2 linked regions of the Diceros bicornis minor genome follow. The protein of the gene in region 2 interacts with the protein of the main gene of each other region in a biochemical or structural test. Links are inferred from orthologs where the notes say so. Each region holds a gene or a part of one and is shown on either strand. Other genes may lie near its edges.

What was found.
Region 1: the proteins of RALGDS (region 2) and RAP2A form a complex in vitro, tested with the Homo sapiens proteins (2 studies listed by BioGRID). The link is inferred for Diceros bicornis minor from reciprocal best matches to the Homo sapiens genes RALGDS and RAP2A.

What each region holds. Positions count from the first base shown.
Region 1 is NC_080748.1:73,727,509-73,742,558, reverse strand, and holds the start of RAP2A (ras-related protein Rap-2a), read right to left. Parts: upstream 6,719-15,050; 5' UTR 6,486-6,718; coding exon 6,172-6,485; intron 3,379-6,171; coding exon of another isoform or gene 3,192-3,378; exon of another isoform or gene 3,104-3,191; intron 1-3,103. UniProt on the Homo sapiens protein: Small GTP-binding protein which cycles between a GDP-bound inactive and a GTP-bound active form. In its active form interacts with and regulates several effectors including MAP4K4, MINK1 and TNIK.
Region 2 is NC_080767.1:40,106,689-40,121,862, forward strand, and holds the start of RALGDS (ral guanine nucleotide dissociation stimulator), read right to left. Parts: upstream 7,253-15,174; 5' UTR 7,234-7,252; coding exon 7,051-7,233; intron 1-7,050. UniProt on the Homo sapiens protein: Functions as a guanine nucleotide exchange factor (GEF) activating either RalA or RalB GTPases and plays an important role in intracellular transport. Interacts and acts as an effector molecule for R-Ras, H-Ras, K-Ras, and Rap.

The sequences.
Region 1 (15,050 bases), on a different chromosome or scaffold from region 2:
ATCTAATAATTAATTATGTGACTTTTTCCTAAAGGACAGCTGGAAAGCCAACATCATCCACTTGCCTGGTGGCCTGAATAGCTCTCATTCAGTGGTCAGTCATGTCACCTTTCAAATCATCCATTCATTCTTGTCAGAGGATTTAGCAATATGCAGCAACAGTTGACATCTTTTGTCTGTGTGCAGAAGAATGGTTGGCTGGCTATTTAAATTACTTTTGCCCCCTCACCCTTTTCTTAAAAAAAAAATCACTATAATGATTTCTTGGATTATACATTTTATTGATTGAATTATCACCAATCTTAACTAGACAAGACTTGCAGATCACAGGCTGCTGACTCCTTAAGGTTCATATTAAACTTCGCCTCTTCCCTTATCGCCCCACCTAGACAGAAGTACTCACAGAACATTAGAGCTGAAGAGAGATCATCTACTCCACCTGCAAAATGAACTTTAAAAATTCCAATGCTGGGATGGCAAAAAGAAAACTACTATCCCTTAATGTTCTAATTTTACAAAGCAGCAAAAACAAGTTTCCCTTGCAGGAAAACCTTTGGGCTATATGAAGTGCCTTATGGCTATTAGGCCCTGTATCTTGTAGCCTAGCTTTCAATTACAATTTTGGTTACTGGAGGTATCAAACTGGGGAAGGAGGTATCTGTGGAGGAGGGAATGGTGGCGGACTCCAGAAGTTTCACGTATTTGGGACAAACATCACCTGATGTGTTCTCTAGTTTCAGCTCACAGCACTAATCTGTTATGGGTCAGGATCCACGTGTAGCAATTGACAATCTGCCTCCATTTTAGAGAAAGTTTTTATGGCTTACTTATTGTGAGGAGAAGTGTCCACAATCATTTGGGTCATTTGTAAGTGATCACTTACATGATATAGAAATATTAATAATAAAAAAATAGTAACATTCATTTTGGGTAGTGTATATCAACCACGTTTCCTGTTCTTTTTTCCAACCTTATAGTCTACTGCAATGTATGAAGTCTCCTCTATATATTGCAACTCTCAAGTTCTATCCTTGGCCGTATTCACTTCTAATTTCTATTCCTGGCTGTATCCATTCATCTCTCTCTCTATACTCCACCCAGCAGGTTTCCTCTCCTCTCCAAATCTGAATTATGCAGATGATCCTGAAGGAGTCTTTATATTCATACATAAACTGACCTTTCAGGCTTTACTCAAATATTTTAATTACTTATTAGGTGTATCTATCTGGATGATCACTATCTCCAAACTGAAATAATCTCTCCCAGCTATTCCTCCATAATCCTATTCACTCATGTTCAAAATGTCAAGGTTACTTTTGACCTTTCCCTCTCCTTGCCTCCCCCTAAGTTTGATTAATTCATTCTTTACAACATTATTTTGAACCATATTTCCTTTCTGTTCCTATAGACACCAGGCTAATTCAGAATCTTTATACTTCATATAGAAACTAGATTATCACAATGCTTCACAACTATTCCTCCTGGCTCTGGCCTATTGCCACTAAGCCATCTATCACATTACCATCATAATTACTACTTCCATAACAATTCTGATCATGGTCCTTGACAACAAGATCAAGTCCAAAGTCTTTAACCTTCCGTAATTTAGGTTTACATTTTTTGGCCTTATCTCCTCTCATACTCCTATATAAATTTCTAGTTTAGCCAATCTGGTCTATTCAACAGCTAACAAATATATTCTATGCATTTCCCATGCTATTTCCTCCATCTGGAAAACATCGTGCTCCTGATTTTTTTAAGGTTTATATTAAAATTTGCCTCTTCCCCTGTCACCCCAATTAGATAGAAGTACTCTCAGAGAATGTTAGAGATGAAGGAAGATCATCTACTCCATCTGCAAAATGAGCTTTAAAGAATCATCTTCTCCATCTATAAAATTAAAATGTTTGGGGAAACTAAAGCCAAAGGAAAATAAAAATATTTTTCTTTCTGAACACTACTTTTTTTCAATATGTTTTTCTTGATTGCTATGTGCCAGGAGCTGTGCTAGCCACCTGGGATTAGAATTTCATGAGAGAGACCGATTGTATGTAAATTATCTTACAAACAATGAAACTTTGATGAGTGCTACAGGAAGAGGGAAGTACAGGGGGCCAGTGCTGTCTGAAGTACTCACTGGAGGGCTGAGGCATGAAGGTAATCCAGGGTGGGAAGACAGGAAGGAGTTAATTCAGTCTGCAAAGACTTTCCTGAGGGGGAAACCTTTTAAGCCGTGGAGAAAGAGGGAGCAGGAATAAACTCTGCAAAAGGTAGATGATTTCCACAGGTAGAGAACCTATAGATTGACACTTTTAAGGAAATAAAAGAAGGTCTGGGTACTGGAATCTAATGGATGAGGAGGGTTGTAAGGGTGAGGCTGTAAAGGCAGGGAGGGACAAGAGCGTGCTGGGCCTGGGAAGGTCATGTGGAAGATTTCTGGGCTTCATCCTAAGAACAACAGGCCTTGGATAACATGTTCAAGATACTCCAGCCGGGACCATGGCTTACCCTGGGAGGAATGAGAAAAGCAATTATGAAATCAGAAAGAACTCTGGTTTCATTTCAATGGAAATATTTTCTGTATCCCTATCACTCTTTCTTTTATGTGTGATCTCAATCAAAGTCAAGTTAAAAAAAGAAAGCATAGGAATTTATAAATACAGTCATTTTCAGTTGGTCCACTTGGCTTTGACAGGAGGTTGTGTATGTATATGGATGTCTGTGCACCTGTAAACACTTGAGGAAGTATGGGCCTGTTTTATATTTTTTGAAAGCAAAACGTTCCATACAAGAACAATCCAATGCAAAGCTCCATTTCATTGTGTGGCCATGCATTAGTGCTATACTTGAAGTTAAATATTCATCCTCCTGCTCCTTCCCACACGATCCTTAATAAGGGAAAATATTTTAAGAGAACACCAACAAAATTTTTCTAAGGATTGTTCTACTCTGCATTGCTTTTTAGTCTCATCTTGTCTACACTAGGTAAGGAATTTCAATATACAATCACACATTACTTTCCTCCAAAATTACATTTATGTCAAGGATAAAATTTAAAGAAGGCAGCGTAACAAAGTTATTAATAAAAGAACAGCTGGAACTCTGCAGCAATTTCTGTTTGAGGTATTGTGTTGGACACCTTAAAACATATTTTATCATCTAATCCTAACAAAGACTAAGAGGTGCATGCTCTACTCTATTTTACAGATAAGGAAACTGAGGCTTAGAGAAGCAAGCATTTCTCCAAAACATACACACCTTATACCTGAGCTGTCCAGTGGTAGCCTGTAGCCACATGTGACTACTGAGCACTTGAAGTATGGCTCGTCTGAATTGAGATGTGCTGTTAAGTGTACATTATACACCAGATTTTGAAGACTTGGTATGAAAAAGAAAGTAAAATATATCAATTTTTGAATACTGATTACATGTTGAAATGACAATATTTTGGATATGACAGGTTAAATAAAATGCACTATTAAAATTAATTTCACCTGCTTTATATATTTTTAAAATCAACTACTAGAAATCTTAAAATTACATATGTAGCTCACATTATATTTCCATTGATCAGTGCTGCCCTAGACCAAAGGCCAGATATTGAATTTGCCAGTAAATACCAAGTTGAAAGGCAGCCTGGTATGGAAGAAAAGAAGATGGTACATGGATTCAGGCAGATCTTGGTTTAAATCACCTCTCCCTCAATGACTGGTCTTGGGCAAAATACCAAACCTCTCTGCACTTCATTTATGTCATCTGCTTTATGGTGATATTAAATATCCCCAAACAACTGTTGTATTAATACGTAAGGCAGCTAGCAGGCAGAGGGGAGGGAACAATTACTAAATACCTCCTATAGCAACTGGTTAATTTAAAAATTAAACCCAAAAAGAGTAGAAAATTCACTTATTAGAAAATCCTGTCTTATTCTCTTTAAGTGGGAAGAGTTAAAGAACTACACTGAACACTTGCTTTAGCATAATATATTATATATTATAGTATACATAATATACAGACCCTTTCTTTCTCTCAAGGTAAGTTGCTTATCATATGCTATAGGCTAGGAGGCCAGATGATGAGGTTAGGGTGAGGTATAAAATATCAGGACACACAAGGGCCCCAGTGGGTCTTATGGATACAATGGATGAATCCAGAGAAAAGAGCTTATGGACTCTATTTCAGCTGATCAATGATCTTTTTACATCAAAACTGAGACTGCTAAGTAAAATGACATCTGGGCAAGTAGAGTTTTACTCTTTTTTTCTTCCTGGGTCACAGTGCAAACAAGCAAATTGTTCCAGTTTACAAATAAATTGTACCAAGTTTAGACTAACCCATTATTAGTAATCTGCACTAAATCATAAGAAACGACAAAATCATGTGCACTATACTATCCAATGATATTTTGCCATTCTGTTCCCTAGGCTTGTCTCAAGAAGTTTGCCCTGGGTATGTGACTTTATCAACGTATGTATTATATGTATATATTTAAATGCAAAGGGTGAGGCATTTACTTCAACTATTTGATATATGTATATGGCCTAAGACTGACATGTGAAATATATTAGACTACTCTGTTCTGCAGTTTTGTTTTGGATTTTTCTGAGTAGCTGGGGTGGGAGGAGTAATAAATAAGGATATGAGTCACTAAAATGTAGCCCCAAAATGTCATATACATATTAAGCTTAACACCAAAATCGTTCATTTGTTAACTATAAGCAATTATGAAAACAAGGTTGGAGAAGTAAAAGCTATCAGATTCACAGATCTTAGAGCAGCAGCAGAGGCCAGGAAAAAATTCACTTTATCCTACTTTGAAATTTAATGAAAGAAATAACACACAAAATTTTAGTTTAGCTATTAAAGTGCATATTCAGTGAGTTAAGGGGGGGTCATGGAGAGAGAGCCTCCTCTTTGATCTCATCTGTTGCATTAAAAATCCACCACTGGTAATGAATTTTTGAGCACTCCCTGATTTAGTACACGTGACTTGGCCCTGGCTCTTTCAGAATGAGCAGACTCCAACTGACTTATAATGTGATTGTGTCTACAGTACACTTACAACCATCTTTCAGTAAATGTCTTTCAAGTTAGAGCTATAGGTAGAATTAGGTGGGAAAAAGAAAAACTAAATCAAAATTATTAGCAATTATTAACTAATAATAAGAACCAGACAAAAACATTAATGTGTAATTAAACAGTAATTAGAATAATCTGCTAAAACTTTGAACTAAGATATTACTACATTTTTAATGCTTGAAACTATAGAAAAAATATACTCAATTTAACAGAAAATAAACATTTTAAGCCATTTAAACTACCATCATATTTCCGAAAAGCATACTCTAGAAAAGAGTTTCTATCAGGATAGACCTTATCTGCATTAACTTTAAATTATCTAATACTTGAGTCACACCCTGAAAAAACTTCTCTTTTGTTTCCAGGAATGCTTTTTTCTTTTTTTTTTTTTTTTGAGGGGGGTAAGGCAGCTAGATTAAAACAAAAAGCTGCATTCTTTAATGTGAACGGCATATTTGTACTCTTATATGCTAATACTCTCTCAATCCCACTGAGCTGCTATGGTGTCTTCAAATAATTTGATAATCCGCTTTTAAAGTTTCGTCTTAATTGGAGAGTTCATTTTCGTAAAACGCCTTGGCACCATTCAATCTTTTGAGATGAGAAAGGTCTCTTTCCTCTCGACTTGACATTTTTACGGCATACGTGTGAGCAATTTTTGCTGTCAAATATTGCAAAGGTAGGTTTTTTCGTTGTTCAGTCTGAAAATGTCTCCACTACACTTGCACAGCTCCCTTCCTCCCAACACAAACCTACCCTCCCCACTCCCCCTTGCAAGTTTTAAACTTTGTCTCCTTTGGGGTTCTGCACAAGCGCTACTAATAATATCCAAGAGACAAAGAACTGTGCTGTGGGTTCACGGGATGCCAAATTTGAGTTGTGAAACAAAGCACTCAAATTTGAGATTCAAGATGATGAGGATGGCGATGCTGGCAAAAAATTTATTACAAAGCATAAGACCCCGGAGCCACCTCCCTACACAGCTCCCCCTGCCCACGGCCACGCCGGAGCCCGGGGGAGGGAGTCCCGGCCCCGGGACGGCGGCCGCCGACCGCACCGCGGAGCCCCCTGCCTGCACCCCGGCCCTCTCACCGCTTCACTCGGATGATCTGGTCCCGCATGGGCTTGATGTCCTGGAAGCTCTGCTGGTTGACGAGGCTGTAGACGAGGATGAAGCCCTGGCCGTTCTTGATGTACAGGTCCCGCATGGACGCGAACTGCTCGGTGCCCGCCGTGTCCAGGATCTCCAGCACCGACGGCGACGAGTCCACCTCGATCTCCTTGCGGTAGAAGTCCTCGATGGTGGGGTCATATTTCTCGATGAAGGTGCCGGTCACGAACTGCACGGTCAGGGCGGATTTGCCGACCCCGCCCGAGCCGAGCACCACCACTTTGTACTCGCGCATCGTCCCTCCGCGGCCGCCGCCGCCGCCGCCGCCCGCGACATAGACCTACGCCCGCCGCGCTGCGCCCCCGGACCCTGCGCCGGCGGCCGGCCCCGCCGCCTCCCGCGGCCGCCCCCACCTCACGGCCGCCGCAGCCCCCCGGGCGCCGGCGGAGGGAGCAGCGGCCCTGGGCATGGGCCGAGCCGGGCGGCAATGCGGCCCCGCGGGCGCCGGCAGGCTCTGAGGACGAGCAGGAAGCGGGAGCCGCCGGAGCCGCCCGAGCCGCGGGCCCGCAGTGCCGCCCGCCCGCCCCGCCCCTCGCGCCTCCACGCCCAGCTCCCCGCCCGCCGCTTCCCCCGGCGCCGGAGCGCGCGCCCGAGCCCGAGTCGCGGTGCTGCCGGGGGCGGGGCCCGGCGGCCCGGGGCGGGGCCTGGCGGCGCAGCCCCGCCCCCACCCCCGTCGCCTAGCGACCAGCCGCGCGCGCTCCCGGGAGGCTCAGCGCCGCGCGGAAGCCTCTGCCCGCGCTTAGATAAACAACCGCCTCGGACGCCCAACACCCCACCCCGCACGCCCCGTCGAACCCCAGGCCTGCGTACTGAGCATGCGCAGTTTGTCCGCCTGAGCCGGGAACCGCGTCAACTCGAGAATCCCACGCTCAGAATTTGGCGGAGACAAGGTGTTAGGCGGGCCAGAGCAATCTCCAGGCTTTAACCTGAAGAGGGGAGTGAGAAGAAGACATGGGCAAGGTCGAAAAGGAGGCGTTGGCGTGAGGGCCTTGGCCGACACCACTGTCGGCCAGCATTCCTGTCTGTCAGCATTCCTGAGAAGCTTTGGTTTCATGTTGTGTAAACATAACGAGAGGAAGCTTTGTTTAAGGGGACGCGCATAAACACCACGAGATGAGGCTTTGTTTTAAGCATCAGGTCTGAGGGAGAGGTGACAGGCCCCTCACAGCCCACTGCCCGAGGCGGCGAAGGCCGGGGACCGCGGAAGCCGGGCCCCGCCCACCTCCCCCGGCCCCGCCCTTCAGTGCCCGACTTCTGTCGAGCGCTTCCCACGCCCTGTCAGCTCCGGGCGCTTGGAAAACCGGGAGAGCGGAGCCCCGAGCCGCCGCCAGAAGGCCCAGGGACACCTCATAGCAACAGCCAGCTGGGATACCTAGTAGGACGCTGGGATTCATTCCAGCCAACCAGACCCCGTCTCTGGACCCCATGGTAGTGTTCTCGGCCAATAGGGAGCAGCTTCATACCACGTGACGCCCATCCATCGGCCCACAGGGATAATGTCTAGTCGCTGGATCGTCCAACCCACCTCCCACTGCTTGGCCGGGCTGGGCGTTTGCTCCTGCGCACGCTCTGCCAACCAATCGTAGGTGGGCTGACGCATGACGGAGGCTTGCGCTGAGCCAGCCGGAATTCGCGATTGCTTTGCCACCGAGTGCCGGTGGTGTGGAGACAGGGCCGGGGCTGGTGGGGTTTGGGAGGGGTCGGAGATTGAGGGGCTGGTCGCTGTGCCCTGTTCTGGTAGGGAGCGAGATGTGTTGCAGGCGAGAGTGGTGAATTCCGCTTTTCAGGTCGTCTCCGTGGCATTCTGCCTAAATGATGGGCATGGAAATGGTGCTGAGGGCTGTGGGCCGAAGCGTGGGATGAATCGAGAAAACAGGGACTTTTGTTTTTAGGTTGAGAAATTTTCCGTACTGCAGCAGTTGCATGGTTCTTCCATGCGTGCCTCCTAAAACATTTTTTTTAAGTTACTCGGTTTTAAAACTTACCGTTTTTTCTCTGTAGCTTTAGATCTTACACACTCTCTCCCACCCATAACATCACATTGAGAAGCTATATTCCCAGATATTACTGGATTATTTTTTGTGATAGCTGATATTGGATTTACCTTCCTTAAACTATGTCTTTCTTGAACTAGTCTACACCCTACTAGCTCACGTTTCTTAGGAATAACAAATGTCTACAGTTTTAATGTTTGATCACGGCGTACCTCTTCCCCCTCCCCTTCCCCACAAGGTCATCGTATAGAGAGGATTTTAATCTGAGTTCCTCAAAAAAGCAGGTGTTGTTTTGCCATCAATTATCAAACTACTGCAAAGATGTACTCAGATTTAGTAGTGTCCTACTGCTCTGTCGCTCCATTATGTTAGAACGGATAACTTAACATTTGCGTTATCTTGCTATAGTATAACACATACCAAGTTTTTGTTTAAAATAATTGAGGACAAGTTTCCTGTCAAAATGTTTAGTAAAATATAACTCAATTGTTATTTCTCGATTACATGCCATCAAAATATGAGAGGTTATATCTGAGCCGCCAGAATCAGCAGTGAATGCAAACTGCAAAAGAACTAAGAATCAGAGGAATGTTTGAAGAGAATTGAAACCAAAGAAGATCTGATATCTCATCCTAAACTAGTAATGTGAATAAGTGTAGTGAAATTAAGAGAGCTCACATGGATATGAAGTGACGCTTCATATATGAGCTTTTTTGGCAGGGATGTTTGAAGAGGATGATGTATGTGAATACAGTGTTCACTAGCTTTTTAGAAGTCTCATATTCTGTGTAAAACTTGTATGCTTATTTGTGGTTACTTTAGCTTAGCAACAGCTAGACTTCTTTCAGAGGAAGAACAGACTGTCTCTTTTAAGATCCAAATAGTGTACTGTGATGATAACGAGTTCCTAGACTTGTTGGGGGTTAAATAGAGCCAACAGGCATCAAACTTGCTCTCCTTGTGTAGATCATTACAATGCATGTAGTACCTTGCATTACAGTGGAGCTGAAAAACCATTCACTTTCCAGTGACTTTCTTTAGAAATTTACCTTGGCATTTTGGTTCTAGAATGTAAACTTAAGCAACTGTTTTCATTTCCTAGGTCCCCAGAAGTTCAGAAGCTTGGAATTGGAGTGCATCTGATAGAAGTTGTCACAAAAAAATAGTGAGTGGGCTCCCTAGTCACTCCACTTAGCGTAATAAAGAGTGGGCGAGCTTTTTGACATTTCTCAGGTTCTTTTCCCTGAACTTTCATCAATGGTGACTTTCTTGCTAAGTTGAAATGTAGAGACTTCAGCCCTTGGGGTAGTTGCATCTCATTTATATTTCTCATATTGACAGGCCTCAGTTTTCATTCTCAATGACATAAAGGTAGATTTTTAACCGCTAAGAGACAAGAGAAACATGGTGAGTAGGAGCATGTTTTCTTACCTTTTCGGTCTTGGGTGATGGTACTTACCTGATTTGAGGCTGTACGTGAAATGCTGATTGAAGCATTAGCTACTATAAGAAAGGATGTCAGGATATGTAGAGAATTTTGCAGATTTGCGTGGGAGATGGGTGTCTGTCGTCTGATCCCTTAATCATGTTCATTCCTATGCCAGCATGAACTGTCTATTTTGAGAGTGATTTTAGAAATAAAAACTTATGTCTCCATTCGTTTGTTTGTGGGAAGGACAAAATAAAAATGAGATAAAATAAAATTGAATTTTCCCCAAGAGCTGTAAATCTGTATGATAGTGAAAACTTAACACTGTACGCTGACATTAGGGTCTCTTTAGCTTCAGGAGTGCATTGCTTTGGAGAAAAAAAGAAAGAAAAACTTCATTTCTCCTCTCCCCACTGAATCGGAGAGTTATCTCACCTATGCCCAGATACCCTCGACTGTCACACTTGTGTTACCGTGGAAACCCAGCTCCTTTCCTTGCTTCTGTAAAAGATGTTGGAAAAGGTGGAATGAAGTGGGAAATACACTGTGTTCTGGGACTCTCTGATGCTGGCAAGAAGCAAGTATGCAAAGAATTTAATATAAACAAGTTAGTAGACGGCATTTGTAATATGACCAGCACTTCTTGGCTATAAAACCCTGATTCCTATTGCTTCCTATTAAAGCCTACGTCTCTCTGAGTAACCATAAAGGGGAAGGACGAGTCGAGTACATTTACCACCTATGAAATGCTGCTGGCAATTATAAAGAGAGCAGAAGACATTTTCTTGGCCTCTGAGGCTCCTAATACAGTTGAGAAACAGAAGTATGTATGAAGGGAAAGGAAGGGGCAAAATAAACTTATTTCTCTTTTGAAAATGTGATATGTCTCAGCACTTTTGAAAAGAAAAGGAATTAAATACACACTGAGTATGTAAACAAGTCAATGAAAGAAACCTTTTGGTTGAGCAAGTAAATGCTTCAAAAGGCAATTTTAAGCAGAAAAAATTTCTGAAAGAAAAGGCTTAATGATTAAAATATAGGGAGGAAAAAGAAAAAGCCTGAATAATCTTAAGAACGTGAAGGTTCTGAGGAAAAAAGAGCTTTAGTGTGGTTCATTTAACATAGCAGAAGAGCAGGCACAATATTGCTCATATACCCAGCAGTTTCCCTTTCTTTTTGCTGAAAAAAATGATATGAATCAGGGTTGATCATTAATGGCAGTGCTTTCCCCTCTGTGCAATTAGTTCAGAAGAAGGCACGTGACTCAGTTCTCACCATTGGAACGGGAAGAAGGCGGCTGGGGGTGGGGAATTTCTGGAATTCTCACAAGAGTGAGTAGATATTCCCATTTTTTGACATTACTCCCCTTGCTTGCTTCCTGCTTTGCATACTGAAATATGAGAATGTGGCCAGCATCTTTGGGCTACATCACCTTGTGGCTGAGGTTGAAAACTAACCAGCTTTGGATGGCAGAGGAGAAGGATGAAAAGACCTACTCCTGGATGACAACATTGAGCTGTCAAATCAATACTGGAAATGTCCACCTTTGGACTTACGGCTAAGTAAACAGCAAGTGTCCTTTAGTTTAAGTGTTCAAGTCTGTTAGGTTTTCTGCATCTTGCAGTCAAATACATCCCAACTGTTAAAGAAAATATGAGGAATTCAAGACAAAATGGTATTTTAAAAAAATCAGCAAGCATTTGTGAGCACTCTTCATTCTACTAACATTCTGAATGGTATTTGAAAGACATCATACTATTTATTGAGTGCTTACTATGTATATCATTCTAGGCTCTGATGATTCAACAGTAGACAGCCAAAAGAACTTGCAATCTAGCAGGAGATACAAACATTATAAACAGAAGTGATAGACATTAAGTGACCCCTTACATGTTTACATTATGTAATAGCTATAATTAATGCTAATAAGGAAAAATCAGAGGTTACAAGGGTGTATAATAAAATATAATAACATAATGAAATATTACAAAATATATAACTAAATAACTGAATAAAATTACAATAATAATTTTCTAGTACATGGTAATGTTATGTATAGTTTATACATGAATTTCTAGAGATCAAGAGAAACAAGGAGTAAACTGGAGTGTGTTTAGTCAAGGAAAGCTGCTGAAGGAAATTAACGTGGAGCCAGATTTTGAAGGAAGTGGCTAAAGAATAGACTAGATTGGGCAGAAGGGAGCACTCCAGATGTAAGGAACCAAAAAAACACAGGAAGAAAGCAGGAATGAAGTAAGAGTGAAGTGAGGGAAATGCAGAATCACTTGATTCTTTAATTCCCTGTAGCAATGCCCTTCTAGGGACAACTATCAGGGAAAAAATCAGAAGCTAGAAATCTCAAAGCAAGATTATAAAAGGTATAAAAATATAGGGAAAATAATACAGAAGAAAAAGTGGAAAGAGTACAAGGGTACATTTGAAATTAAAGCATCATTCAAATCATGAATAATTTATAATGTGGGCATCATGAAAGATTTGTCATGAGAAGTAATTATGGACTTCAGGGCATCAAGAAGGAGGGATTTAAACTTTCACAAATAGAAGTAGAAAGAAAAATGAGGAGGAGCAAAAAATGAAGACAGGCAGGAAAACAATTTTTGCTTATGGTTGTTTTTTTCATGGTAGCTGTTATTGACATGCATTATGTAAAAATGAATGCAATTCAATTGAAAAGAAAAATTTCAATAGACCAGTAATATATAAAGATAGTCTTTTTGGTAAATAATGTAATTTAAAATGTTTTCCCTAGAATGCCGTTTTGTACCTTGCCATAGAAAAATCTTTTCAATAACAAAGCTGTAAGGAATAATAAGTACAGATTAGTGTTGCATTTTGGAAATAAAAAACCTCATAGATGTACCAAATGTAAGAGTATAGCAACAATAATAAATACTTGTAATAAAAATCAGAAGTTTGTCAGACATTTTGTGGTTTCTGGTCAAATTTGCTTGTAGTAATTTTTCTAATGCTATTTTCTGTACAAATATAAGAATATTTTTGAAAAATTAATCTACAGGAGGCATATGAACACATCTTGATATTATTCATAATAACGTAACTAATATTTATAGTACTTTGCCATTTCCAAAGCCCTTTCCCACATCTCCAAGAAACTCTTTGTTTTTTTAATAAAAAATTTAAAAATAATTAGCAACCACTATACAAATATGTGATATGAAGATGCTGAACTAGCATTATTACTGCTCCTTCCTCCAAGATCAGTGGAGTAACATAGAGGGTGAAACACCCTCAAATGGAGAAAACTATGAGAAAACCGTGGTAATAAGAGGTGTTTTTTTTTTTTGAACTGTTTGGCACGGGGGCTGGGGGAGTGGTGGTTTAGGCCTGGGGCAGTAAGCAGCGGGCCACACTGTGGGAGAAGAAAACAGGAACAGAACTGTTGTAAATCTGCTTGTGCTTCTCGCTCACCATTGCCTTGGGAAAATCAGTGCCTGCTCCCTCCCCCTAGCGTGTGGTGACTTAGAGTTCTGAATCAAGTGGACTGAAGAGGAGAATCAGGGCTGCACAGAAGCCCTGTGCTTGTGAGGAGCCTAGAAACGCCTTAGGTCCTAACCAACTTTGGGCATTTGCCCACCCACACCTGCTCTAACTTCCCTGGGCTGGTCAATTACAACACAAGGACTGCTCCTACTGATGTTGCTTCTCTCTGTGATTTTTTGAGATTTAGCGTTCTCCACTCTAAAACTCATTCGCTGTCACCCTCTGAGCAACTTGGCATGACTCGAAATGGGGTCTAGTAAGGTGATCAACCATCCTTGTCTACCTGGGACTGTCTTGGCTTTAGTCCCGCATTCTACAAAACTCCTCAGTCCTAGTGGGTCACCCTAGGCCTATCCTCATACACATTTTCAGAGAAAAATGAATGCACATGGCGAATAACAAGATATTTTGAGAAGTATAACTATTTCAAAAGAAAAAAATATATAGATTCCATCAGAAGCATAAACATTAGAATGGACCAAAAATTTAAAATTAGCCTAATAAACATAATAAAAAAAATAAGGGATAGTGTTAGCCATATGAAAATAAAGAAACAAACAGAAAGGAATGAAGTCGATATGTTAAAAATGAAAGAGGTAGTAGTTAAAGAACAGGAGAGAGAGCAGAAGATAGCAGAAGGGACACAGTTAAGGAACACATGAGTGAATTGCAAGACCGGATGGAGGTCATCTCACAGAAGGAAGAAGAGAAGTTCAAAGAAATAGGAAAAGGAAAAGCCAAGAGATGTGAAGAACCAAAGTAGAAGTGGCAGCATACAGATAATAGGAATCCCCAAAAGAAGAAGGAAAAATAGATGGATGACTTCTTAGAGAAATGATAATGTTAAATTTCCCATAAATGAATGGGTGGATGAACAAATAAAAGACCTCAGACCGAAGGGACCGTGGAGTATCAAAGGAGAGTGATATGGAAAACCCATATCTACACAGATTACAGTGAAATTTTGGATAACCAAGACAAAGAGAAAATACAAAATGTTTACAGTATGAAAGATTAATAGCAGATTAAACACAGATTTCTCAGTAGCAGCGTTAGAAGCAAGAAGAACAATAGAATAAGATTTTCAAAATATTGAAGGGAAAAGAACTTAGAAACTGAAGTTTTATATTCAGCCAAGTGTCATTCAAGTATGAGAATAAGATATGAATATTCTCAGGCATGGAAGGCCTCAGAATATTGCCACACAGAGACCCACTTTGAAAACAATGGATAAATACTTAAGGAAAAGATAGAAAAAAATCTAAGTGATGTTGCACAAGATGTATGAAGAAAAAGTGATCAAATATTTTAGTAATATCAGTTATTGTCTTTAAAAATCTCTAAGACCAGGGGCCGGCCCTGTGGAGTAGCGATCCACTTTGGGGGCCCAGTGTTCGCAGGTTCAGATCCCAGGTGTGGACAAATGCACGGCTTGTCAAGTCATGCTGTAGCAGCATCCCGTATAAAGTAGAGGGAGGTGGGCATGTATGTTAGGCCAGGGCCAATCTTCCTCAGCAAAAAAAAAAGGAAGATTGGCATGGGATGTTAGCTCAGGGCTAATCTTCTTCACACACAAAAAAAGAAAAAAACCTAAAACCAGAGAAATAAAAATACATCCATAATTCCTCAAAATTAAAAGTCTATATAATAGCATGATGGGGGTTACGTTAAGAGGTTTGAGAATGTGCCAAAGGTGTTCTTGTCTTATTAAGAGGGAGATTGTATATATAAGTATTCACAAAAAGAAAAAAGGAAGAATAATATTAAAAGTAATAGAATTTAAAGATACTGAAAAAATAAGATAGTCAAAATAGAATTTAATGTATCAATAATTATAAAAACTAAACTCACCAGT
Region 2 (15,174 bases):
CAACAGCTCTGGCATTGCCCCCAGGACCCTCTAGGGTCGGAAGGGCAGGGCCCTGGTGCCCGAAGGTGACCCTGGGCCACCCTGTTAGCAGAGTGGACAGCGCCCAGGCCCCCCAGGGACGCTCTGGCAGGGGCTGGGGAGCTCCTGGGGAAGGTGGGGGATGGCCTAGCTAACAGATGTCCTGAAGGGAGGTGTCCACAGGGCAGCACTCAGCTGGCTGTTGGGGAAAAGAATGCCACATGGACGGCTGTGTCCTCAGGGGACAGATCCTCTTCTCTCACCCGAAGCAGGCACTCGCCAATACCCCCATGGCGCTGGGACCCAGTGGGCAACTGTGTCTTGCACACACAGTCTGGCCTCCCACCACCTGGATCAAGTGGAGTGAGGATGGTGTGATGTCCCCACGGAGAGCAGAGGCCGGCACGACAGGCATCCAGGGTGCCCTCCCCTCCTGACCCTCAAGGGCTCTGGGAGGCCCAGGAGCCGTCATCAGGAAGCCCACAGCCTGGGGCCCTGGGGACGAGAGGGGAAATGGCCTGGGTGGCATCTGTTAAGTGTGTCATCCGATCAGCCTTTTTTGGTGACGGGCCAGGAGGATGCTGTGTCCCCGACCGGCTGCAGGACAAGCCTTGATTCCCTCAAGGCAGAATAATGGGGTCGATCTCACCCATTATTTGGGGACAGACCTGAGAGGACCTACTGGGCCTTTCCACCTCTCCCAGAAGGTGCCTGTGCCTAGACACGTGGGGATAGCACCTTGTCCCATCCCGATCACCCCTCCGCTCTGGCTCCCCACTTGGACGCACATTTCCCGAGGCAGCTACAACTAGGCCCACAGACACCTCTGGCCGCAGACTGGCTCCTCCTAAGGAGACCTGGCGGAGGGCTGAGACAGAGGGAGGAGAAGGGCTGGAGCCTGCACCAAGGTCTCCTCTCATCTCCTCTCCGGCCCGCACGTGGACAGGCGTGGCCCCACACGGGCAGGGTGGGGGTGGCTCCAATCGCAGCGCCCCCAAGTACATGAGATCACCCCTTGGGGACCTTGCCGCACCCTGCTGAGCTGCTCGCCAGGTCCACTGAGTCACAGAGGTCACCTTGAGGCCCTCATTTGGCCACGAGGTCCCTCCCTAGGGCCCAGCAGACACCAGAGTCACATCTCTCATGGAGGGCTCTGACTCCCAGCTCTGCCGAGCTGCTCAACCCTCAGCCTCAGTGAGCTCATCTATGAAATGGGGGGTCACAAGAGAACGCAGGCAGTGTGCCCGGATCTGCACCTGGCACACGAAAGCATTCAGGAAATGGGACCCGATGCTGCTGCTGTTGTTGGGGAACACCCGACCCCCGCTCACAGCCCCCACGCGCTGGCGAGGAACACCGGGCGGGTGGGAACCTGTGAGACCTGCCAGAGCCCTAGGAACCTGGAGGAGTGCCCCTCCCAGAGGGAGCAGGTCATCCTAAAACTGCAGGTGGGAGCCAGCCGGGCAGCTTTCTGACTTTCTAGCCTTGTGCTCAAATGTAGGAGCCAAAACGTGAGACTGATCAGAGGGCTGCTCAGCCTCTCCAGAATCCCTGGCTCCTGGGACAGTTTGAACACCATGCCACCCGCCCATTTTACAGAGTACAGACAGGCTCAGGAGACAGGGTCAAGTAGAGAGTCTCCAGGCTGAGGAGAGAAACCAGGACTTCTCAAGTCTAGGTCCTGGTTCATCTCTTAGACCATACGCCCAACAAAGCAGCCAGAATGCAAATGCCAAGCAGGCATGACCCTCCTGGGGTGCAGCAGGGCCTGCCCTCGGGCCTGCACCCTGAACCCAAAGGCATGGATGGACAGGACCCTGGTGGGGATGCAAAGTTGGCCCTGGATGGGGGTGGGCCACACTCCTGGTCCCACAGAGGCAGCCTCAGCCAGGGACCACACAAAGTGCCTGGTTGCCAGGGCAACCATGGAGCTTGGTGATCCCAGAAATTGGAGTTTGGGGACCAGCCTGTGCTGAGCCCGCCGCAAAGGCTGACCCATCTCCCCAAGAATCCTCCTCGCCAGCCTGACCCCAGCTACTTGTCAGCATTTAGAGGAAAGACGTGCCTCAGGTGTGGAGGGGAAACTGGCCCTCCCCACACCCATCCTCCTGTCTGTTCGTGACCGGCTCCTGACTGTCAGGCCAGCAGGCCACCAGGGGCCAGGCCTGCAAGGGGGTGTGGCTGGTGACGGCTGAGGAGGAGGATGGCCTGGTCCCGAGAGGGTGCAGGGCGGGGCCAGCTGAAGGTCCACCCCCAACTGGACACTGACCAGTGTCCCCCACTGACCAGTGGGTACTTCCTGGGTGCCAGGCCCTTTGCCCACTCATCATATTTAACCCTCCCAACACCTCACTTGATGGATGAGGAAAGAACTGGGCAGGAACTCGCCCAGGTCAGGAGCGAGGAAGTGGCAGCTGGGGCAGGGATTTGAACCCTGGTCCGTGACTGCAATGTCCTGTGAAGACACACCTAGGCCTTGCTCCACCAGTGGCTGCCATGATCACAGCCTCAGAGCAGAGTCGAGCCCCTGGTCACACAGATGTGGGAAGAGAGACAAGAGACTGGAAGGACTTTCTCAGGTCACACAGCCAGTCGGGGGTGGCAGGGCTCAGCTCGCTCACACCTGCACCTCTCCACTGAGAGGGGGTTTGTTGGGGCTCCTGGCACAGGACGGCCAGGGCACCCACGGGCCCTGAGGTCAGCTATGAGAACCAGGCCTGGGAAGCACCTTGCTGACTGGGCTGGGCAGCATACCCCAGGAGCCCAGGGCACGGGCACTCCCCTGGCACCTTGTCAGAAAACACAATCACAGCAGCCACCACCTGTCTGGCTCTGATGCTGTGCCAGGTACCGTGGGGACTGCTTGTCAGGCCACCTGTCTCACTCCATCCTCACCAGAACCCTAAGGGGAGGATCTGGCAACAGGTCCATGTTACAGATGAGGAAACTGAGGCTCAGGGAGCAGGAGCAGGTCTAGGGCTGCAAGGGGCCGGGCTGGCATCCCAGCACAGCTCCCTTCCCTCCAGAGCCCAAGCTCTCTACCAGCATACGTGACCCCGCCCCTGGGTACAAAAGGACAACATCACACCTCCAGGTGTGACTGCCGAGCAGCCTGTGCAAACATCCAACGGTCCCTGGAGAGGAGAGGAAATGCCAAAGCAGCACGCACACCGAGAGCTCCCGGAACGCAGGCCCCGGATGCAGGCCTGCACACGGGTGCCCCTGCCTCTCACTGAGCAACCTTTGGGCTATCATCTGCTCACTCCCCAGCCATGGGCCGGACAGGAGATGGAGAGTCAGGTCTGCCCACAGTTCTGCTTCTCCTGCACTAGGCTGCAGCTTTCAACTCCCGTCTCCTCGGAATCAGATTGGGGAGAGTCACTTTGCTGGAACCGTGTGTCTGGGAACACGGTGTCTCTGGGCCTGCGAGGCTGGAGGCCCACGCCTGGACAGTGTGGCCACAGCACGGTGCCACGGCGTGGGAGCTGTCCGGGCGGCCAGCCAGCAGCCCCTGGGAATCAGTCCTCAACTGCCTGGGTGCAGCCTCCTGAAACCGCCCTCACGGGCTCACTCAATCTACTACAGCCCCTTCTCAGCGGCAATGAAGACGGAGCCTGGGAAACTCAACTTCTAGGTTGAGGATTGGACCCCAGCCCTGCCTGCAAGCAATTTAACATCTCCCAGGTTGACCCCCCACCGCACGCACCCACTCCTGCACCAGGACCATCCCTGGGCCTCTAGGGAAGCAGTCCAGCATGCTCAAGTGTCTCCCATGTAGAGAAGGTATGAGGACCCAGTACTAGCCAGCCTGGCCTCCTCCCTCCTCTTCTCCTGGGGCCCTGAAGAGTAAAGTAAGAATGGAACTTGAGGGTCTGTGGAGGCCCAGCAGGCGGCAGTCGGTCAGTCTCCTCCTGAACTTGACAGGCACTGCAGCTCCTAGAGGCTGCCCCCTTGGAGTCAGCCAGTAAGCCCCTATTGAAGATCACAGTACGAAGACATACAGACAGACACACATACATGCACACATATGTGCACCCCTTAGGCCATGCCTCTGGGGCCTCCAGTGTCAGAAGCTAATGAGTGCTGGGGGTTAAACTGAAGCCCTGCACACAGTGCAATCAAGAGACCAGACAACCGGGAAGGAGGCGGGGAGGCTGGAGGGCAACTCTCCCAGGAGTACCTCCACCCAAAGAGCAGAAAAGCCCTCTGCATTCCGTTCCGCCCACAGACAGCGCTCAGGCCTTGCAGTCACACAGCCCGGGTCAGAATCTCGCCTCTGCCACTTACTAGCTTGGTGAGTTTGTACAATCTAATTAACCTCGAGTGCCTCAGTTGTTTGTCTGTTTAATGGGCTATTGATAGTGCTGACCGCAAAAGGACATAATGAATGCAAATTACTTAGCACAGAGCCTCCCACCAAGTGCTGGCTCATGTTAGCTATTATTTTAAACCTTTGGTGTCCAGCTGTGGGCTTGCTTCTTCCTGGAAGCTCTCCCCAGTGTCCTCAGGCCCAAAGCACTTTTGCCTTCTGCTGGTCTATAAGCATCCCCGCCCCTCACTTGATCTCGGGGCTTCTGGGCTGCCTGGGCCTGGTTCCGTTCCCCCCACGGCTCCACCCTCCTCCCGTGCACTCATAGTTGCCTCGGCAAAGCTCTGCCCTATCATTCTCTGATCCCTGCCGGCTCATGCACACATAGCAGGCGCCCGAGAGAGAACACAGCCCATGTTCAAATCCTGGCTGTGTCCTCCTTGGCTGTGTGTATGCTTAGATCAGGGACATCGCTTCTCTGAGCTCCAGTCTCCTATACAGGGGGGCTGGCACCTACTCTGGAGGGTTGGTCAAAGCCAGCTGGAATGGGGGGGTGGGGTGGTATCTGCAGTCAGTAGGTACTACAGACTCGAGAACGCCCCCTGCCTGGCCAAGGTAGTGGCCTGCCTGGAGACGGGGGCATGGGCCAGGTGACCTCCAGAAAGCACAGAATTGCGCAGGCCAATCACATGGTGCCTTGGCTTAGAATCAAGATGACGAGCGGATGCCCAGATGTGCGAGGACATCTGGCAGCCCAGAGAGGGAAGGATTGGGTGGAGGCTTGGTAGGAAAATGGGGATGGGGGAGGGAAGGCAGAAGCTGCCTGGTAGTTTCCAGAGGACAGGGACCACAAGCAGGGCTGCTTCAGCTCTGGCACGCTACAGCGACCAGGAAATCAGCCCCAGGATGGGGGGGGGGCGGGTGTTGGCAGGAGGGACAGGGACTTCCCCACCCCCTCCCCCGGCCCATGGTAAATGGTTATTGTGTTTTGTTTCCGGCAGTGGCCTCCTCTCCTGCCAGGACCCTGGTTTTTCTGCCCCAGCCAGAAGCTTCCCCTTTGATTTCTAAACAGTGGCCACGGCCTGGATCTCAGTGCTGAGGCCGGGTGAGGGAGAGCAGCAGCAGCAGGAGAGGAAAAGAGAGAGAAAGAGAAAGGGAAAGACAGAAAGAGAGAGAGAGAGACAAGGCAGACCCCTGGGCAGGGGTAGGGCTCAGATCTGCCTCTCCCTCAATTCCTCAGGGATGCAGATGGACAGACAAACAGAAAGAAGGAGGGACAGAAGCTGCCGAGTGGCCTGCCCCACCCTGGCCAGGAACCTGCCTAGCCCCCATGAATGGGCAGGCTGGACCCTCCCAGCACACAAAGCCCAAGTCGCTGCCAGACATAATGAAAGTCAGATGAGCACTGGGCTGGTGTCAGGCCTCCCCCCCACCACCCTCCCAGGGGTCCAGCTCCAGCTGCCAATGAAGACCAGAGCTGTGGCTGGATGAAGGCTGGAAAACATGCCTGGGGCAGCCACCCACCAAGCTCAGGAGGAAAGGGCCTCCCAGCCCCCCGGTTCCCCCACTAAGAGCTGCCCCACCTCTTGCCTTCCCCCACGCTGTGCAGGGACATGTATGTTATCCTTGAGCAATTATGCATTCAGGCCCTGTCTAGGCACTGAGGACACGCAGAGACACAAGAACCAGGCCAGCAATCACCGGCAATTACAACGAACCAGGGCCTAAGGTGATGAAGCGGGGGAGCACCAAGGGGCCCTAACCAGCGTGGGGAGCTCCGGAACTTCACTGCTGAGGCTCTGGCCTCTATCGACCCAGGGATGCCCTCTGTCCAGGCCCCATGCTCAGGCAGAGTGGGGTGAGGGGGCCCATCCCCAGAATCTGTTACCTCCACTGAACCAAGTCAGGTGCACAGCCAGGTGGCAGAAGGAGTAGGGCATCCCCCCTCCCCGGTGACGACCCCATGACCCACTGGGCCCCACTGCCCAGAGCACTAGAAACAAGAGTCCCAGCCCTCACCCAGTCACCCCCACCCCCACCCCTGACAGGCACATTCCGTCTTCTCTGAGTCTTCCCAAATCCTTACAAACGCAAGGTGTTGGTGTATTTTCTAACCAAGCAGAAATGAGTCACCCCCTCGGCGGGAGAGGCCCTTGTCCCAACCTCCCCGCCTGGACACCTGGCCCTGTGGTGGGAGGCCTGCCTCTCCTCCACGCCCCTCCTCTGCCCTCAAGGCGGGCTTGTCTGGAAGGCCCCTGGGGTCCCAACCGCCTATGAGGGTTCTAGGACTTTGCCAACCTAACCACGAGTTCACCACCTGCCCTGGCAAGCCCAACCGCCGGTGCAGGCCCGCGCTGGCAAGGGAGGAGAAATGCGGCCCAGCCCCTGCTGTTGGGAAGTTCGCCGATGTAAACAGCCGGTGACAGCCCGCGGGAACGGGTCTACCCGGGCTGCAGGGGCGCGGGGCCGGCACACCGGTGAGGGAAGCCCTGGGACGGACGGATACAGGGGGCACGAAGACCGGTTCTGGTCCCCAAACTGTTGGCTCGGGTGTGCCGGCAGCCCCCACGCCCATCTTGCTGCCTTGCGGTCGGAGCAAGAAGGGGGATTTCTGCGGAAGGACCGTCCCCTCCCCCCGGACCCAAACTGGAGGCGGGAGACCCGCTAAGGACGCCGGGCCCCCACCCACGCTCGCCGGCCGCGGGCCGGCCCGGTCCACCCACCTCCAGACGCGGCAGGTCGGGGTCGAGCTGCGTGAAGCTGTGCAGCACCACCGGGCAGCTGTCGGGGCCGCCCACCTCCAGGCGCACGGCGTCCCACAGGCTGCGGCTCCGCCGGGAGTCCGGAAACAGCGGCTCGGCGCCGCCCGCAGGCCCAGCCGCCTCGGCCCACATGCGCTGCACCATGGGCGGCTCGCGGCGGCCGGCCGGGCCGCGGGACCCGGGGCGGCGCGGGCGCGAGGCCGGCCCGGCGCGCGGCGGGGGCGGCTCTGTGCTGCCTCCGCTCTGCGCCCGCGGCCCGGCCCCGCCGAGGTCAGCCCGGGGGCGGGGCCTCGGGAGGCGGGGCCGGAGGCGCGGGGGCGGGGCCGGAGGTACGGGGGGCCGTGTGCGCGCCCGCGCCGCCCCGCGGCCCCGCTGGCTGCTTGCGTGTTCCGGAGTACACGTGCTGTGTGTGTTGTGGGGTGTGGGTACGGCGGTCAGGCACCTTCTGTCGGTGCGTGCGCTGGTGCAGTGTATGTGTTGTGTAGAGATGTGACTTGTGTACGAGTTGACGTGTGGTCAAGTGGCCCTAGAGTCAGACTCACCTCCCACGAATTCCAGTCAAGCCCCTCCCTAGCTCTGTGGCCTTGGACAAGTTGCTTAACCTCTCTGAGCCTCAGTTTCTTCATCGGAGAGGCTCACACTGGGTGACTGATGTTTATTACTCAGCTGGTGCCTGGGCCTGACTGTGTGCTCCTGAGTCCTGGAAGGATGACCGTGTCCCCGGTGCACATGGGTTTTTGGAAATCCTGAGTGTTGAAGTGTGTTTGCAAAGGGGCGGTTGCCTGCACTATCTCCTTTCAGCCCTCTGGCCACCCTGGCAGAATGGAGGCAGAGGAGGCACAGGGAGGTGGGGAGGAACCGAGACCAGGTGTCACCGGGGTTGGGGCCTGCAGACATTCAAGAAAGAGTAAGAGATCAGGAGTGACAACTGCCCGCCACAGCACCTGGCCACTGGCCTGGTCAACTGGGGCCACTGGTGGCTTGAGTGCCTAAGGTCTCAGGGCAGCAGTCAGGGTGGAAATGAGGCTGCTGAGGGCTGGGGAGGAAGCAGGGCTAGGGAGTCTCAGCTACTCTTTCTATAAGCGGGTGAGGAAGGAAGAGGGAGCCTGGAGGTTAACAGCGGTCAAGAGGGTGTTTGTGCGGATAGATGAATGAATGGGAACCTCCCTCACACCTAATCCTCTGTTGGGGCCTGCCTGGCCTCAGCCCTCAGCCCTCAGCCCTCACAGAGGCTGGCGATGATGGCTGCAGCCCTGGCAATGCCACCACCCTCCCAGAAGCGGTCCAATACCATTGGGCCTCAGTTTCGCCATCTGTAAAATGAGAGGGCAGGACCAGACTACACATTCCACAAGCCAGTCTTGCGCACCCACTGTGTGCCAAGCCTCAGATATCCATGGACGGTGGGACCCCTTCTAGCACCACCCACGTGTGGACCCAGTTTGAGCGCCAGCCTGGTGGTTTTCTGTCCGGGTACAAGGCCTTCACAAAGACGGGCAGAAAACAATTTGGCAGTTTCTATTAAGGGCATTAAAAACGCTCATGCCCTTTGACTTGATAATCCCACTCTTAGGAATTCACCCTAAGGAAGCAATCAGAGGTGTGGACATGGATTTCTGTACGAGGATGTTGATGGAAACCTCGACTACAATTCTGCCAAACCGAATCAACTCAAATGCCCTATGCTAACTGACAGGCCCCTCGGTGCCATGGCGCAGCACAGCAGACCCAGGATGCAGGGAAATGCTCTCCTGGACCTGTGAAGTGAGAAAACCAGGATGCAGCAGAATGTGCTTTCAGAACCAGATACCACACACACGCATACGGCTAGAGGGACCCACTTTGCAAAAGTAATGGTGGGTATTTCTGGGCAGTGCTATACGTTTTTTTCTTTTTACTTCTTGGAATTTTCCAATTTTTCTAAAATATTTTAATAATCATGCACATGTCATAAGTGCTGTGTTTTTGTTCTTTTTTTAAAGCAAGATGGGTAGATTTGGTTTGGGGTGGTGATTCCTAGGAGGCTGGTTAGGAAGCTTCCATGCTCTGTCCTTGGGGGAGGGGCACATTTAGAGGAAAGAGGTCCTCCAAAGCAACAAAGGGATGACCAGGACACTGGACATGCCCTCTGGCTAAAAGCTTCTCCTCCCACTCCTGCTACTGGGGCCAAGCTCTCAGCCTCGGGGAATTCAGAACTTGCTGAGTAAATCCAGCACCTGCCTGCAGCTCACTTTATCTCTTCTCTGCTCTCCTTATCTCTTTCTCCCAGGGAGGGGCCTGGGAAGCCGGCTCGTGCCCATTTTACAGCCTGGAAAGGGCTGGAGAGTGCAGAGGAGTGTATCCCATGTCACCACCTCTCTGACCTTGAAGGTCCAGGGTGCTGGGGTTGGGAGGGCCCAAGTAGGCTGGAGAGGTGAGAAGTGGGGAATTCCATCACTACACTTGCCCCCAACACAGCCGCCTGGGCTGCCTGCCATCCTACTCCCTGGACCTCACATGCATAGAGCGGGTGGGGAGGTATATCCTTTACCTAATCAGTCCCTCTGGTTAATGTCTGTTTGTTTTTATGAAGTCCTCCTCCCTGCCTTGTTTGCCCCCCACTTTGGGGCTCCCCTCTGGGGTCCTGGCAAGCCTGGTCACCACTCCAGCTGCACACACACACACCCCTAGTTCCCAGGGTGTCAATGTAGCATAGAGGACAGGTTGAGGCACCAAAATGCCTGGGTTTGAGGACCAGCTTCACCCCTTTCTTACTGTGTGACCCCATTTCCCCCAGGCAAATCACCTCACCTCCAAGACACAGTGTTCTCCTGTGTAATGGGGGCATAACTAATGAGACGGCACAGGTGAAGCCCCTTCCACAGGTGCCCGGTGCCCCTAGGTCAGGCAGGCGGAGACTGCCCCACACTGTTAGCGACAGGAGCTGCGATGCACTGCGTGCCTCCCGTGTGCAAGGCCCTCTCCCGAGCCCTCATGCAGCTCCCCTCATAATGCCCGCCGAAAGCTGTGGGGTGGATCCCTTACCAAGGGCAGGGCTGGCCCCACAGAGAGGGGACCAGGAAAGTAGGTGCCACCTGTGACCAGGAACACAGAGCCACTCATGAAGTGTTCTCGCCAAAAACCAAACCTGAATCCCACCAGGCGTCTGCAGGTGGCTCCCACTTGGGGGATCACAGGGGCCAGAGGAACATGTTAAACACGCCATAGGATACAATCGGCAAATTCCAGGCTGTGGGGATCTCTAAGGACGAACCACCCAGTTTCCTCAACAAATACATTTCCGGGAAAAAAATAAAGGGGAAACTATGGGAAGGTAAGAGATGTCAACCAAATGCGACATGTGGATTTTGGATTGTGATTCAAACAGGGCAACTGTTAAAAAAAAAAACCTAAGGGGCCGGCCCGGTGGCACAAGCGGTTAAGTGCGCACTCCGCTGCCGCGGCCCGGGGTTCGCCGGTTCGGATCCTGGGAGCTCACTGATGCACCGCTTGGCAAGCCATGCTGTGGCGGCGTCCCATATAAAGTGGAGGAAGATGGGCACGGATGTTAGCCCAGGGCCAGTCTTCCTCAGCAAAAAGAGGAGGATTGGCAGATGTTAGCTCAGGGCTGATCCTCCTCACAAAAAAAAAAAAAAAAAAAAAAAAAACCCAAGGGACCACTGGGATTATTTGAACGCTACTGAATATTTGGATATTCGACATCATTTTTTGGGTGTGATCATGGGATTTTGGTTATTATTAGAGTAACATAGTGGAATATTTATGAATGGAATTACATGCCTGGGATTTGTGTAAACATCGTCCGCTGAAGGAGGGGGGCAGGATGTGGGGGCAGACAAGAAATAAGAGTGGCCCTGCACGGGTGATCGTGAAAGCTGGGGTGCCTTTATGCCATTTTTCTCCCTTTTGTGTCTATTTGGAATTCCCCATAATAGAAGTTAGAAGAAGGACACAGTTTGAGACTCATCCTCCAATGCCACTGAGGTTCCAAGCAGCCATGGAGGGGGGGTGACAATCTTCAGACCCCGGGCCATGGCAGTGACACCTGGCATGACAGCTTCACCATGTCCTATGTCCCAGCGGCACTCATAGCATCCTTACACAAAAGGGGCTGGAGGCTTCACTTTGGGGGCCAAAGCAGTGGGCGGCTGGGAAACCAAGTCACACAGCTCAGTGGGGCAGTCAGACGAGGCTGGGGGCTGGGGGGTCTGCTGGGAGGGACAGAGAGCACAAAGCACTGTAGGAAGTGCGGGTGATTATGAACTGGTGTTACTCCTCTCCTCCCTCATCCTGCTCACAGCCCACCTCGTCCCCAGGCATCCCGGGTTCCCAACGTTTCCCTGGGGGAAGCATCCACCCCTCCTCGGGAGTCACAAGAGGCCCCAAGAACAATGCTGTCCAGACTGTTCCGCAGTCGGGATGCTCCTGGCACAGGAAGCTTAAAAGACAGGTTTTGAGCTGACAGCCAAGGACGAGAACCAGGCCAAATCCAGCCCACGTGTGTTTTGTTTGGCTTGCAAAGTGTTTTTCAATTTTTGAGCCAACAGTAAAAGGTCAGGTGATTTCATATAAAAATCCACATTTCTGGCTTCTCCTGTAACTGGACGACCTGGCCACACCGCGTCTGCGTTCCCGCACGACAGGAGACTGGGCGGGAGCTGACGGGCAGCTGTCCTCCGCAGCCAAGGCATGTGCTCATGGGTTTGCCACAGACCCCACTGGGCCTTCCGTCACTCCCTGGCTTAGAGGCCCCTGGGCAGCCACCTCTGGCTGAAGGGAAAGGTATGCTCAGGCCAAACCTCCAGAGCCCCTTTTCCTTCTCACTTTCATCCCAACACTGATCCCCTTGATGCACGGCAGCTACAGGGGTCTTGACCCTTCAAAGCCTCCAGCACTGCCCTCGGGCAAAAGATCAACTGCTTGGTGCACCCCACCTTGCATCTCGGGGTCCTCTCTCACCATGCCCAGCCAGGCTCACACAGACCTGCTGCCATCCCCGGAGCCTCGAGCCAGCCCCTCTTCTGCCCGGCCCATGCTCCCTACCTTCCACCCACCCCTTTGCCCGGTACATGATAGCTGATTCATGGGGTCCCGGGGAATGGGGTTTGGGCCTGGGGTGCAGCTCTGGGGAGGTCTGCCAGGCACACAGTGGCTCAGAATGAGAATTGGGCTCAAGGCAATGCCGGGGGAGCTGTGACCCCAGTGAGGAAGAGGAGCCAGGTCTCCAGACTCAAGTCAGGCCTTGGTGGACAACCTTTCACCTCGTGCTGGGCAGATGGAGGTCACCCTGTCTGCTTTGTCTTTTCTGGTCTATATTTAGAGCCTGGGGAGGACACGGGGAGGGTGTGGCCTGGCCAGGCTCCTTGGTCATTTCCTGACACTGATGTCACCATTCCTGGCCTGCCAGGTCCTGGGGTTGCCCTCTGTGGGCGGGTGAGCACACACCTTGGCAGGTGATGCACCTGGGCCAAGCGTGGGAGGTCCTGGGACAGTGGGTGGGCCTGGCTTAGCCCCACCTCCTCTGCCACTGGGCTCCTGGGTACCTCCAGGGGCTTGTTCCTCTTCTGGAGAAGGGAGGGTCCCCACAGGCTGGAGGCCATGCTCAGAGATGGTCAAGAGCCAGCGAATGAAGCATCTGAGCCTCCAGGAGACCATTCTGGGTGGAAGGATCTGACATCATCATCGACCCAAATCTCTGACCTCACAGGGCGTTGCTGTCCCCGCCAACCAGAGCAAGATGCATCGATGCCTGGAGCCACGGAAACGGCCCAAGACTGGGACGGTGAGTTTCGGCTCAGCCATGAACTTGCCATGGGGCCTCACTGTCCTCCCCCGGAAAGGGGCGCTCACAGCCCCTAAGTCTCGGAATGTTGAGGGGCCCTCAGAGGAGTGTACACGCAGTCCAGGGTCACCGTAATAAACACCGTCCACAGAGTGGGAAGCGGGGGCCACTCTGACAACTGTCTCTTACTCTCGGAATGCTCAGTGCCCGACACCCCAGGGGTCACTGACACCCCTGAAGGCCACCAATCCAACCTGTGACGGCCCAAGGGGGAGGACAGAAGAGAGGAAGAGAAGCAGAAGGGGACACAAACAGACGCAAACAGAGACAGAGACTCTGCAAACTAACTGAGCCCGAAACACGGAGAACACCCGAGAGGGAACAGTCAGAGACGGAGACGGAGACAGGGTCCCGTCCCACGCCAAGCCCACGCAGGCCGCAGGCTGGACACACAAGGCTGAGAAGGGGGCCTATAGGTTTGGGAGCCTCTCTCTCTCTCAAGATTTGTAGCCTAGGTTTGTGCTCAAGTCCCTGCTCTGCCTCTTTGTAGCCTCAGCTTCACCTCTCTGAGCCCCAATTTCTCTACCAGTAAGATGGAGATAATAATAACAACAACATCTGGCTCTCAGGGTTCTAGGAGAGCAGATGCTGAGACAGTGCACGAAAGCCCTCTGTAATCTGAGAAGCACCAGAGGAACAGGAGCAGCTCGGACAACCCACAGCCACCTGCCCCAACCCTCCCGGGAGGAGAGCAGAGAGACAGGCTGGCAGGGGTGGGCATCCTCAGGCACCACTGGCAGCGCCCCCCCCCACTGCCTCCTCCCTCACACCCAGAATGGGAGATGGAGATTCTCAGCTTCCAGCCAAACTCCTTCAACCAGTTCCGACAGGAGGGGAGGAAGTAGAGGGAAGCCACCTCCCCAGTAGCTGCGGTGGCTGCGGCCCAGCTGTGACCCACCCAGCCTCTCGGCAGAGGCACTGGTTGCCCTGGAAACTCACCTCGGTGGCTGGTGCTGGTGCTGGTGCCGGCAGAGGTGCTGGGTAGGGTGTGAGGCTTCGCAGAGAGGCACGGCGGGCGACAGCCCACCGCCGGGCGGTCACCACGGAGACACAGGCCAAGAACACCCAGCCCCTCCTGCCCCTGGGCACGGCCGGCCTGGTCTCCTGGGCCATGGTGCGCAGGAGCTGGGTGGGGGGTGGGCTCCGTGGAGGCCCTCTGCCAGTCTGCCCGTCTGCCTATCTGTCCGCCTGCCCCAGCGTAGTTAAGCACCCAAGTGCCTAGGCCTGGTGTCACCGCGTGGCTGTCATACCTGCTCCAGTGACGGGCAGGGCCAGGAATTCCCACTTGTACCAGGCCAAGGGCCAGCCAAAGACGTGTGGATGGGGCTCTGTTCTGAGCCGGGCCAGTAGCTCCAGCTGGGCCCCGCTCTCCTGGGGAGGGCCCACCTATCTCCTCCAACACCCGAGGCCCCGTCCCCATTCCTCCTGCTTTCGGGGAAATCAACGCCCAGAGCCAGAAAGGTGGCAGGTACGAGTCACAGAGATCTAAACAGGGCTCAGCCAGCAGGGCACCGAGGCGGGTGTCAGCCCAGCCAGGCGTAATGAGGGAGCAGAGGAGACCCCGCTCGCTCCAAGCCACTGCCTCATTCCTGAAGCCTTCCCGGCCCCACAGCCCTCAGAGCTCCTCCACCTGACACCGAGACACAGGATTGCATTTGAAACTGCAGGGACCAACCTAGGGTTGCTAACTGTTTATTTTGCCACGTAGGATAGTAAAAAAAAAAATAATAATACTGTCACCACCACCATTACAATCATTTCATAAAAGACACCACTAAAAAGTAACTAGGCGGGCATACCATCAGGAGAGGTCTTAAACAAATGCATTTGGCCTTAAGAAAAACTCATGACCTTGTCTCAGTTTTTCGCATTTTGCTACAAACCAGACATTGGAAGCCATGGAACAAGTCCAACACACCCATTTGACAAATGGAAAATCTGAGGCCGGGGAGGAGCAGGGACTTGCCCAAGATCTCACGGGGAGAATCCAGGACTTGGGTCTGTACGCAGCTCTGTAGAGCCCACAGACACTCCTTCCATCAGTGTGCAGAGCCCAGATCCCAAAACCCAGAGATGCCAGTGTGATCCAGAGGCTGAGAGGCTGGGCCGATTCCTTACCCTCCTAGGACCCTGGTGGGCAGCGGGCTGCGTGAGCAGGAACACAGAGGCCGGGAGGAGTTGGGGGCAGTCGGGGGCTCCGGAGCCTGCCCATAGGCACATTGGGTCCCAGGGGCCCTGACGGG